Linked DNA regions of Cricetulus griseus. The protein of the gene in region 3 binds, or shares a complex with, the protein of the main gene of each other region. Links are inferred from orthologs where the notes say so. Each region holds a gene or a part of one and is shown on either strand. Other genes may lie near its edges.

Region 1 (4,432 bases), on a different chromosome or scaffold from region 3:
TTTAATTGGAATGGTTTTAAGTTTTTGCAAGCAGGAAGCAAAAAATTAAACCAATAAGCATTTATTGATGGACAGTTCCCAGTCCAAGAAATATGATGGGTAAATGATGTTGGATTCCTTTAAATTACAAGAAATAAAAGGACAGCATCACTTTATCCAAGCTGAGTTTCACCACCTGACACAGCTTGTGTGACTTAAGCAAGAACTAAACTACTATGTGCTTCATTCTTTCAAGAATAAAACAGGATGAATGCTAGCTATGTTCTCTTTGTAGGAATGGGGACCGTTTTAGATGTGTTGTAACTCATGAAATCAGTCCTGAAACATCACCATTGCAGCACACTTCTGGAGAAGCGGCTACACAAGACATGTTAGCACTTCCTCAGGCAGACTTTCATCCTCACACTTCTATTTTCCTTTTGCTAATCTAAAAGCAGCTTTCTAGTGATTTCAATGCTCTATCAACTCCACCCTAGTTAAATGTTAGTAAGTGGATAAGTCAATTAAACTTTATGAAGGTGGTGGCAGTCCTCACTAATTTCTGATCAGTATTGAATCCCAAGCACTGAGAATGTAATCATGTAAAAGTATGTTTCATAAACTATGCATACTTCACAGAACTAGAAATCCTGCACTCTGAATGACCAGTTCACCATCCCCTGCAAAGCCACAGGAATATGTGCCTCACACAATAGTTCTCTTGCCACCCAACAGTTTAAACTGCCGTTTATTCTATTAGTTTAACAAAACATAACCAGTAAAATTCCAAGCTTCACAAATCAAAACTTCATTCCAAATCTGCTTGAGACTGTGCTAATGTCCAGGGACAGTCAATCTCCACTAAAGGGCAGTTGTAAGACCATACTAGATGGATACTTTCAAAGAACAAAATCTAAAATGCTCAATTTAGTGAACATGGAATCAGTAGAAGACCGAAAGAGAAGTTTTTTAAAAAGTGGCTGTTTTAAAAGAAACAAGAGCCTTTCTACTCAAACAAGCCTCCCAAGACCCACAGATGAAGTCTATCCCTCCAAATTTTCATTTCCAGTAAAAGAAAACTCAATACATGAATCACAACAATGTATCACGTAAAACTAGGCCCACCAGATAACAGCGGAGACTTTTAAAAACTCAAAATCCCCGTCTTTAACATATCTTCAATTGACTTCAGAGCGGAACAGCCACTGGGAACAGCCACCTGAGTGAGAGGTGGAGTCTGGGTCTGTCTGAGATGCAGAATCTACTAACCAAGGGCAGAGTGACAGTCGCTACAAATTCAGAGAGAGGGACCACCAGGCACAGGACTCAACTCTTAAGACGCGTCCTTCTGCAACAAACCCTGCCTCGACCCCCAGAGCTGCTAAAGCACTAAAGCCTGTGCCACTCACAACAGACCTGGGCTGTGAGCACGCCCTTCAGGCCTGCAAGGCATCCAGAACAACTTCTCCTCCTCCACGTGGTCCAGGACAGGCTGCAAAAGGCAGTGGTGACACAGCTGTTGCCCCCAGGGTGCAGCAACCACATACAAGAGTATCTCAACAGCCCCAGGAGGCTCCGAGTGGACCAGGGGCACCGGGTCGGGCTTGCAGCTCGCACTGCTGTCTTTGGCAGCACGGGCAATGCCCGCCACGCGCTCGTCTTTACCCAGGGTGGAAGCTCACTGCAGACCAGGGCCGTGCTGGGTGCTGGGCCTCGGCCCTTCCCTGGAAGGCCACCGTCCCCCCGCCCGCCCCTGCCCCATACCCCGGCAGCCGCGGCTCCCCCGACCGTGCGGGCCCTCACCTGATCTTGTAACTGGGCAGGGTGTGCTTGCGTTTGATGATCTTCTTGAGCTGGTTGACGATGATGGAGGTGAGCTGGGGCATGGGCCGCCCCTCGAACTGGGAGCGCACCTCGAAGTCGATCAGCGGGTCCTCCACGAAGGAGAAGAACCAGTGGGTGAAGGGCACTCGGGTGAGGACGAAGCGCAGCCTCCCCACCACGCGCGACAGCTTGACGAACAGGTAGGCGGACTTGCCGAACACCAGGTCCACGTCGATGGCCAGGTGGAAGCCGCCGCTGTACTCCACCTCCGCCTCGAAGGCCAGCTCCTCGGGGCAGGTGGCGGGCAGCGCGTCGGCGTCGGCGCCGTCGGGAGGCTCGCCCGTGCCCGAGGCCACCACGGGCCGCACCAGGCGGATGGTCTTGATGAAGGGCACCGCGTCGCCCAGGAACACGTCGCGCAGGCTCAGCCCCTCCAGCAGGCGGCCGGCCGTCTTGGTCTGCAGCAGCTCCTCGAACTCCACCTTGATCTTCTTGGTGACCCAGCGGCGGGCGAGCGCCGTGTCCCGCAGCTCCCGGAACAGGAACAGGATGGTGGCGTTGAGGAAGTAGCAGGTCTCCCGCGTCGGCGGGGCCGGGCTGTCCGGGGTCGCGGTCGCGGTCGCGGTGGCGGACGGGGTCGGGGTCGGGCTGGCGCCGGCCTCGCAGGACCCGGCCGCGGGCTCCTCGCCGCCGCTACCGCCGCCATAGAGGTACTCCCTGAGGGCCAGGCCCGGCACCGGCTTGAGGTAGCGGAAGCCGTCGCCCGCGCGGGCCGCCTCGTCCGCCCGCGGCTCGGGCTGCCTGCGGTAGAGCAGCAGGAACTGTGCGAGCAGCGTGAGGAACGAGCCCAGCACGGCCGACGCCAGGATCAGGAGCAGCAGCCCCATCCCGCCGCCCCGCCGCCCGCCGGCCTGCTCCCGCGCTCTCCGCGCCGCCCTCCTCCTCACGCCGTCGCCCCCGCCGCCTCCATCTTGAGGACATCGGTCGGGATGAGCGGCTCCCTGGGCCCGGCCGGAGCGTCCGCAGCCAGGCGCTGCCGTGCGGCGCCTCCTCAGACGCTCGCTCCCCCCGGGGAGGACGAGAGGCGGCGGCGGCGGCGGCGGCGGCGGCGAGCGGCGGCGGCGAGCGGCGGCGGCGGGCGAGGGAGGGAACGCCCCCCTGCCCGCAGGGACGCCGCTCATTGGGCGAGCGGCGCGTGACGTCAGAGCGGGCGCGCTCCCGGTGGACGGGCCGGCGTGCTCGCGGGTCCCCTCCCCGGCCCCCGGGCGAGCGTCCAGCGCCGCGCCCCCACGCTCGCACTCGGCCACCGGGGAGAGCCGGAGAGAGAGAGAGAGAGAGAGAGAAACAGGGAGACAGGGAGACAGGGAGAGCCCGCGCGTCCGTCCTCTCCGGAGCGCAGCGCAGCGCAGCGCGGGGGATGAGGGAGGGTGACCTGGAGGAGGAGTCAGAGCAGCGGTGCGGGCGGACCGGGCCTGGCGCGGCCCTCCGTTATCCCGCGCCCATCCCCCGCGCTGGCCGTGGGCACCTCTGCGGCGACCGTCCTGCTTCCCGCAGTGTGTCGCCGCCTCCCCCCTGCAGGGCAGCGCAGCGCCGCAGAGAGCCGGAGCGCGGGCGCCCGGCTGGGACACGCACTGCCCAGGCCGGCCAGAGGAGCGAGTGCATCCGAGACCGCTCGGGTCCCCAGAGGGAGGGAAGAAGGGGGAGCCCTGAGAAGGGACCGAGAAGAATGGCGAGGAAGAGGAGGAGAAGGGAGAGGAGAAGGAGGAGGAGGAGGAGGAGGAGGAGGAGGAGGAGGGAACTAAACTTTCCCACCTCAGGGGAGCATTCGAACGTAAACGAGAAGTTCGCTCCGTTGCCCAGGTCTGGGAGGAGTTAGGTGGGCTGAAATGAATTTGCCAGCAGGTTGGAAGATGCCTTAGTGACTCCCTTCTAATTGTTGTCCACGCCGCCTCCCCCCTCCTCCTCCTCCCGGCCTTATCACTGGGTCCATCCCTGAGGCAGTTGGCTGCTCTTAGCACCCTCCCATTTCACAGATGGCTACACTGGCACAGTCTAAAAGAAGCTGTCGGGGTCCTTGGCTTCTACTCGATATAATAACGTGGGGAATGCTGGAGTTTGTTGGGCCGGGGAGGAGCTGATCAGGTCCCAGAAAGAATTTGGAGATGCAGAGACGGGAAAGCAGGAGGTTTTTGCACAGGGTAGGCCAGGACCCAACCACCAGAGCTGCTGTGTTCCCTGGCAACAATGTCTGCTCCGGTACTTTCTGACTACTCGGTTGTTTCATCATAGCTTACGTCCTTCCACGCGGACGCAACCTTTTAGTCCTAGGGAAGTCACATACTCCAGTGCTGAAAGTCTGGAGGACTCGGGCTGCCTACGAGACATCAGTGCGGGTATCCTTTCTAGCCCTTGAACATATGCAGGCCAAGGAGTGTCTTGACAAGAGTGATTCTAGAATTAAACCAGAGTTCTGACCCAGCTGGGCCAGGTTTGGAATCAATTTGATCTCCTCTTTCTTACTCATGGCCGGGTCTGAGGCCAGAATGGCTTTTGAATGAATGGGAAGACAGATGTTTGCCGAACAACCTAGCTGACATTTCTACAAGTTTGAGACAACTTCTGTGTTCGT
Region 2 (3,583 bases), on a different chromosome or scaffold from region 3:
GTGAATGCACAAGAAAGTGACAGGACCCCGGACAACTGAGAGAACTTACCTTGTGTGGGAGTGGGAGAAATGGAAGGAGATACAAAAGGAAAAGGCAATCAACACACTTGATGACAGGTGGGGAGGAGATAATGCCTGACTAGCCAGACACGTGACCTGATTCAGAGGAAGTCAAAGACAACCAGCTTTCAAATGTGAGTCACTAATGGTTAGGTTTGTAGAGATAAATGTTGGTTTTAGATAGTGGTGGAGACCATAATGAGACATCTAAGGAGCCACGTGAATAGTGTTTGTGGTGTGTACCTATCGTCCCAGCATTAGGAGAGCAGAGACAAGAGGATTCCAAGTTTGAGGCCAGACTGGGATACGCAGTGAGACCCTGTCTTTAAAAACCAACAATAACAACAACAATGAAACAACTAACAAAAATAGTCACGTGGAGGAGATGCAACATCACATGGGTAGTTTTCAGACATGGCTGCTTTTCAGTAGATACACAAAAGCATCCCATAGTCATCAAGGAAGGTAAACAAAAGGCAAGATTCCATGTCCTTAAGTTTATTAAAGATGACCATGAACTGTTAGGATGTACATGAATTACAGCAGGTGAAAATCCAGTTCAAGACACAAATTGTACACAAACAGATCTTTTTATTTAGACTCTTGCTCCTTTTCTGTTAGTTCAGCCAAAGCTCTCAACCCTTGGCAGAGGGAGTTGATAGGAACCTCCTAAGTGCCGAGCTGTGGGCTCCCAGGCCTCTCGGTGCCTTGGAGCTAGTCTCCACCTCAGGAACAAATGCTTCCCTTTGTACAGAGAAAATGCCTCACTCCAGCCGCCTCCAGCAAGCTCTCTTCAGTGCATTCAGAATTCTCCACAGCAGGGATTCTCAGATACTGTCAAGTGACAAAGTGCTTTCATGACATCTCCTCTGTTCCCCACTCCCAAATAAATAAACACATGTATTTGGACATAATGACAGCACAGAATCAGGGGGCACTAAAAGACATGTGATCTAAAGGGACGGGTTGGGAGGTGGGGAACACTGAAACTTAGTGCCATGGCTGAGGCCAGCTTGAACCTGTGTTGACTGGGAGTGTGGGCGGTGGCAATCTCCTCAAGTGTGGTGACTTAGAGTGAGCTGGAAGTCAGCCACAAACTGGAAGTCCAGTCAGAGTCTGTATCCGAGGTCTGACTTGGTGACACTTGAGTTTAAAGGGGTCATTCCTACATCTCCTTGAAGGAAGGGGGATTTCTAACCAGCCCTTCAAAGTGGCCTTGGCCTCAGCTTTGGGTCTCACCTACAACTGAGAGAAGAGTCCTAGTCAACCGGTCCAATGCTGTTGTCAGCTCCCAAACGTGAGGCAGAGGAACCTCACCATGGGCCAGTTCTGACATGTTCTTCTTGCTCTGCCAGAGCTCAGTGTGGCTGTTACATCAGCGTCCCTTCTGTCTCTCGGGGAGACCCCTTGTTCCCTGCAGCTCAGAACCTGCCCGCTTCCACCAACCACTTGCAACTTTGGCTTCTTGGGGCAGTGCTCGGGCCAATTATTTCACTAGCAACCAAGTACAGGAAGACAGGTACACGGAAGAAGTCAGTTCTAGAACAAAAGCACTGTGGACATCAGTTCCCAGAACTGCCAGGATCTGAGATGCAGCCCTGACCAGTGCTTACAGAGGTTAGGCGCTGCAGCAAGTGTCTGGCTTAGTCTAGCAAACCCCATAAAATGCACATTAAGTGATGGGGAGGAGTCTATTAAAATCAGTACTATGAACAGATGATTTAACATACATTACTGAGGCTGAAGAGTTAAGTGCATAAACGGCATAAAGGCTCCTGTTACTCTGAGCAAACAAACATTCACAAACTGTCAAGTTCTCCAATGCTACTAAGTGGACAGGCTTCTCCCGACTGACAAAAGAACCTAAGGCAAGAGGTCAGCCAATGGGAGGCCCCCGCTCTGCTGGGGGAAGGGACGGAGAATGGAGTTGGGTCACACCTTTATGCAGAACCAGAGTGGTCACACAGTCATACAGAGCAGTAAGGGACCACTATTAAGATGGTGGGTGGGGTTTCTATCCTCGCCTTAGGCTGGCATGAGGGACTTGCCTGAGCTTGAAGTGCACCTGTGCTCAAGCTAGTTAACTAGAGACTGAACACCCAAGAGGCAGCCATTATCCTTTATCTGAATAAATGTTCCTCAGGCAACAGCTGCACCTTACTTATGTGTGCAGTGCTGGCTACAAATGGGCCTGGCCTAAGATTCAGTTCTGTTCTTTGCTTCAAGCCCATCAGAGTACACAAGCTGGCTTGTGTCCACCGATGCCTGGTATACTTGAAACAGGGAAGTCATGCTTGCCTCCTTGAGGTCTCTAAGGATTCTAGGATTAAGGATTGTGTTCTTACCCATCCCTCAGTGCCTACATAAGTTGTACAGAATGCCCACCGGGTAGCCCCATTCTCTTCCCAGCCTCAGGGCACAGTCTTGTTCTCTTTCGGGACTGTGACAGGAAAATCCCATTCCCATCTTAGCAGCCAAGCTGAAGGAAGACCACTGGCTGAGGAAGGCCTGGCTCAGAAGCTGGGGAACTAAGTCAAGAGTGGGAATGAGCCTTGAGCTGCAGCTGCAATCAGATCTGGTCCTCGAGGGACAGGCCAGGCATGTCAGAAGAACTGGGTCTCACTCGCTGTCCATTCCCCTGACAAGAGCCAGTCCAAGTGGCAGTTCTGATGGGAATACCCAATGCACACAGATACTGTCACAACAGGCTGGACCAATCAACCAATAAAGGTTGCCTACACCTGGACAGCAGACAAGTCATAAAAAAATGACAATATACTTTTTAAAAAGGCCCCATCACCTTCCTTGAAGGTGTGGTTCAGTTCTGTATCGTTTGACCGTAGCCAGTCCCTTTAGACAAAGGGTTAGGTCCTTTCCTCAGGTGGTCTCCAGGACAGTGGCCTCTAGAGCCAAGGCTTCCGTGGGCTCCTCCTCGTAGTCAGACAGGTAGGACTCCAGGCTCTGCTTGGCCAGCAACTCCCGCCGGGCCTGTAGCCGCTCACACCGGGGGCATCTTCCAGACTTGAAGCAAACTTTATGGTAACATGCTTTACACTCTAGTCAGGTTGAAAAGAGAGAGAAGAAAATGATTTGTATTATCAGGCTAGAAGCAAGTTATCACCTCAGCCACTCCTCCTCATAGCTCATGTTGTGGCGGTGGTGGAGTGTGGAGTTACTCACACCATACTCTGGCTAATAGAGAACTCTCAGGTAATACATTCACTTGGGGTCCAGTGTTGCTTGTTTCAAAGCTAGTATCTGTCCTCACCTTCACAGGTCCGGCACTTATGTAGCTCAAAAGGAAAGATGACATCATCCTCATTCTGGCAGAACTCACAGATGAAGCCCTTGGCTTGGCACAGCTATTGAGGAGAGTAGGTAGCAAAGTTAAGAGACTGGCCCAGAAGGGAGGACTCGGTAAGGTGGAGCAAACCATAAATATCACTTTGAGCAGGGTGAAGGGGTCTACTGTCTATGGTGTAGAGCCTAGGGCTGGACTTGTGAGCATGAGAGCCAGGCATCA
Region 3 (3,643 bases):
GGGTGGCTTGGGAAGGCTGACTTCCATTACCTCCACTCTAAACTGTAAGCCAATAAAGAGTTCCTGACTTTGTGCTAGTTGTGGTAGCAGCAGCCCACAGTGCCAGCACTAAGGAGGCAGAGGCAGGGAGACCAGACAGTCCCAGCCATCATCTTCTGCTACAGTTTCAAGCCAGCCTGAACTCATATAAGATCCTGTTGTTCCCCAAAGCTCTTAAAAGGCTAAATGAAACACTATATCTACCAAAGAAAAGAAAGAGGGGCTGGAGAGATGGTTCAGCAGTTAAGAGCACTGGCTGCTTTTCCAGAAGACCCAGGTTCAATTCCCAGCACCTGCATGGCAACCTGTCTATAATTCCAATTCCAGAAGATCCAACACCCTCAAACATACATATATGCAGGCAAAACATTAATGCACATTGAAAATATATAATAAAAATTTTAAAGAAAATGGGGTTATAAATATGAGAGCCTGAATTCTGATCCTTATCACACACATAAAAGCCAGACATACATGGGGAACTTCTATTATAATACCAGCACTACTACAGGGAGATAAAAGATAGAGACAGAGGCAGGAACTCCTATAAGCTCAGAGAAAGCTACTCTGGCATATGTAGTGGGAAAATAAGAACAAAGACCCTGATTCAAAACAAGGTAGAAGCTGGATGTCATAGTGCACACCTTTAATCTTGCACTTAGGAAGCAAACACAGGTGACTATTTCTGAGTTCAAGGCCAGCCTGTTATATAAAGCCAGAGCTACCAAGTGAGATCCTGCTAAAAATAAAATAAAGAGGGAGGGGTAGAAGACAAAGATCAACACCGGAAGTTGTTGTCTAAGCTGCACACTCATGCCTTGGTACACATGCACCTGCATTCACACACATCAAAAAGTTAAAATACGGGGTGACAGCCCTCGGCTTTAATTTAAAACTCAAAGATCTAATGTGAAAGATTAATCTTCTCTTGTCTCTTTAGTTTGATGCTGCTATACCAACTACCTGAGTGGTCATTATGGACCAGAAGACAAAATAAAAAAATATTGGGATTCTTTTTCTAGACATGTTTATGCACAAAAACATGTACATACTACATAAAACACCTCAACAACACAAAGAGTACAGCCCACATGAAGATTTTTTAAAAGTGTTTTTCATTGGAACCACTAATACACTTGGGGTATTAAGCTAAGCAGACACATGAAAACACTAGACTGGCTTAACAGAACTCAATCTTATAAAAAAGGGTTTATTGCAGCTGGAGAGATGCTAGCTGCTCTTCCAGAGGTCCTGAGTTCCATTTCCAGCAACCACATGGTAGCTCACAACCATCTATGAGATCTGGTGCCGTCTGCCTGGCATACATCCAGGCAGAACAGTGTACACATAATAAATAAAACTTTAAAGGATTTATTTATGTGTTTGCCTGCACTGGTGCAGCAGGTTGCATGCCTGGTGCCTGGGGAGCAGAAAAGGGTAACAGATCCCTTAGAACTACCGTTATAAACCCTGGTGCTGGCCCCTGAACTGGGTCCTCTGCATCACTGCGCCATCTCTCCAGTCCCAAAGGCTATAAATAGAAGAGGCAACAAACAAACAAACAAACGAAAGCCACCTTAATATTTTCTGTGTAAGAAGTTAGGAAACACACAAAGATTTCTGACCTAAAGCACTAGACAAAGACACTAATAAGAGATAAGTGGCATGGTGGCTCAAGACTTTAATTCCAGCAGAGTCAAGTGCATCTTTCTGAGTTCACAGCCAGCCTAGTGTACAGTGTGAGTCCAAGGAAAGTCAGGGCTACATAGACAGACCCTACAACCACCAATCTCAAAAAAGAAAGAAATATGAAAACATTTTGGAAAACAGTAGGGATCCGTAGGTTGCTAAATTTAGGAAAAACAAAAACAAAACGCCAGCAAAACCAGACAACAAATAGCGGTGGCACACGCCTTTAATCCCAGTACTTGGGAGGCAGAGCCAGGTGATCTCTGTGAGTATGAGACCAGCTTGGTCTACAAGAGCTAGTTCCAGGACAGCCTTCAAAGCCACAGAGAAACCTGTCTTCAAAAACAAAAACGAAAGCAAAACAAACAACAAATAAACTTAACTAAAATAAACTTTATAAAAATTCCTAGTTGTCATGCAATATAAAATTCAAAGTTAGGGTTGGGGTCTAGCTTAGTGGTAGGAACATGTGCACTCAACATGCATGAGGCCCTGGATTCTATTCCTACCATGCCCCACTCAAGTTTAAAGTGGTTGCCTTTTATTTTATCTAACAATTCTATGAATACAATGGTAGGTTTGAGAAACAGGGTTTAAACACGTTGCTGGGAATAATAATTCTGTATACTGTGTAAACTACGCTGGTTGGTTTTATTCAGAAAAGAAGCTGACTGGGCAATAGCTGGACAGGATAAAGTAAGTGGGAAAACTAGACTAAAGACACTGGGGAGGAGGTCATAGTCAGAGGAGTCACCATGGAGACACAAAGAAGAACAGGAGGTACAAGATGAAAGAGGTAACACCACGTGGAAAAATGTAGGTTAATATAAATGGGTTAATTTAAGTTGTAAGAGCTAGTTAGTAATAAGCCTGAGCTATCGGCCAAGCAATTATAATTAATATTGAGTCTCCATGTCAGTTATTTGGGAACTGGTGGGTGGGAAACAAAAGTCTGCCTACAACAGGGACATGTTAAAATAATTTAGATTCAGTAAGCTGGACCTGCAAGAGGGCTCAGCAGGTAGTGTTTTTGGGTTTTTGGGCAGTCTCCAGAACACACATAAAGATAGAAAGAACCAGCTCCACAAAGTTGTCCTCTGACACACACACACACATAAGTAATACATTTTTAAAAAGATTCAGTAAGCTAACTAGTCAGGCTAGCAGCTCTGCAGTGGCTTACCTGCATGGTGACAAGTCTGTCGTCAACCATCACCTCCTTGGTCAGAAAGTCTGCTCCTATTGTGGCTTTGTATTGGTTACTAAACTTCTTATTCACATACTGGTTCATGAGGGATGTCTTTCCAACACTGAAATTGGAGAAAACCACAAGTCTAAGTCAAATTAGGGACTAAAACTAACTTGTGCTTTCAATTTAAAAAGCCACCTCTCTGGGCTAGAGATACCTGAGTTGGTAAAGTGTGTACCTGACACACACAAGGCCCTGCAAAACAAAACATTTTATCAAAGCAACCTACCTGTCACAACTGCAAACAGATGCCTTTCTCTCAGCCAAGGGGAGCACCAACAATCACCCTACCATCATATACTAGAAGGTTTGTGTTTTCCTAGGATAGTGCAGGGGGAGAGGCTGGCAGGATGGCTCAGTAGGTGTGGGGGTTTGAATGAGAAAGGCCCCCAAAGGCTCATATATTTGAATACTTGGTCTCTTGTTGGAGGATGTGTCACTGTGGATGGGCTTTAAGGATTCAAGATACCTCTATAATCTGCCTAGCAGCCGTGAATTTAAGACTAAAGAATTCAAGACTAAGTTCCTAGCTACTGCTCCAGTCCAGGCCAGCCTGCTGCCAATGCTCGCCACCATGATGGTCATGGACTCACCCTCTGAACTGTAAGCCCCCAAAATAAAACTCTTTCTTCTGTAAGTTGCCTTTGTCATTGTGTCTCATCACAA

What was found.
Region 1: the proteins of Rab7a (region 3) and Pdzd8 are in contact, whole or in part, in a crystal structure (PDB 7F6J), measured with the Homo sapiens proteins. The link is inferred for Cricetulus griseus from reciprocal best matches to the Homo sapiens genes RAB7A and PDZD8. Residues at the interface, in NP_004628.4 of Homo sapiens: Lys10, Leu14, Asp16, Ser17, Lys38, Ile41, Gly42, Ala43, Asp44, Phe45, Gln60, Trp62, Gly66, Glu68, Arg69, Phe70, Gln71, Ser72, Leu73, Gly74, Val75, Ala76, Phe77, Tyr78, Arg79, Thr98, Ser101, Trp102, Glu105, Phe106; in NP_776152.1 of Homo sapiens: Ile999, Lys1000, Leu1001, Val1002, Arg1003, Lys1004, Glu1005, Gly1007, Leu1008, Asp1009, Asp1010, Phe1013, Ile1014, Lys1017, Gln1044, Leu1051, Asn1054, Asn1055, Val1058, Leu1077, Leu1084, Gln1085, Thr1088, Ile1092.
Region 2: the proteins of Rab7a (region 3) and Rubcn are in contact, whole or in part, in a crystal structure (PDB 6WCW), measured with the Homo sapiens proteins. The link is inferred for Cricetulus griseus from reciprocal best matches to the Homo sapiens genes RAB7A and RUBCN. Residues at the interface, in NP_004628.4 of Homo sapiens: Ile41, Gly42, Ala43, Asp44, Trp62, Gln71, Ser72, Leu73, Gly74, Val75, Ala76, Phe77, Arg79, Ser101, Asp104, Glu105, Ile108, Gln109, Ser111; in NP_055502.1 of Homo sapiens: His818, Asn821, Met822, Lys824, Thr825, Arg827, Leu883, Gln885, Ala886, Lys887, Gly888, Phe889, Ile890, Glu892, Gln895, Glu897, Ile900, Pro903, Cys915, Lys916, Arg931, Arg934, Arg938.

What each region holds. Positions count from the first base shown.
Region 1 is NC_048596.1:1,975,298-1,979,729, reverse strand, and holds the start of Pdzd8 (PDZ domain-containing protein 8), read right to left. Parts: upstream 2,882-4,432; 5' UTR 2,691-2,881; coding exon 1,783-2,690; intron 1-1,782. UniProt on the Homo sapiens protein: Molecular tethering protein that connects endoplasmic reticulum and mitochondria membranes. PDZD8-dependent endoplasmic reticulum-mitochondria membrane tethering is essential for endoplasmic reticulum-mitochondria Ca(2+) transfer.
Region 2 is NC_048597.1:56,716,203-56,719,785, reverse strand, and holds the end of Rubcn (run domain Beclin-1-interacting and cysteine-rich domain-containing protein), read right to left. Parts: intron 3,423-3,583; coding exon 3,329-3,422; intron 3,117-3,328; coding exon 2,938-3,116; 3' UTR 543-2,937; downstream 1-542.
Region 3 is NC_048601.1:55,308,399-55,312,041, reverse strand, and holds part of Rab7a (ras-related protein Rab-7a), read right to left. Parts: intron 3,039-3,643; coding exon 2,912-3,038; intron 1-2,911.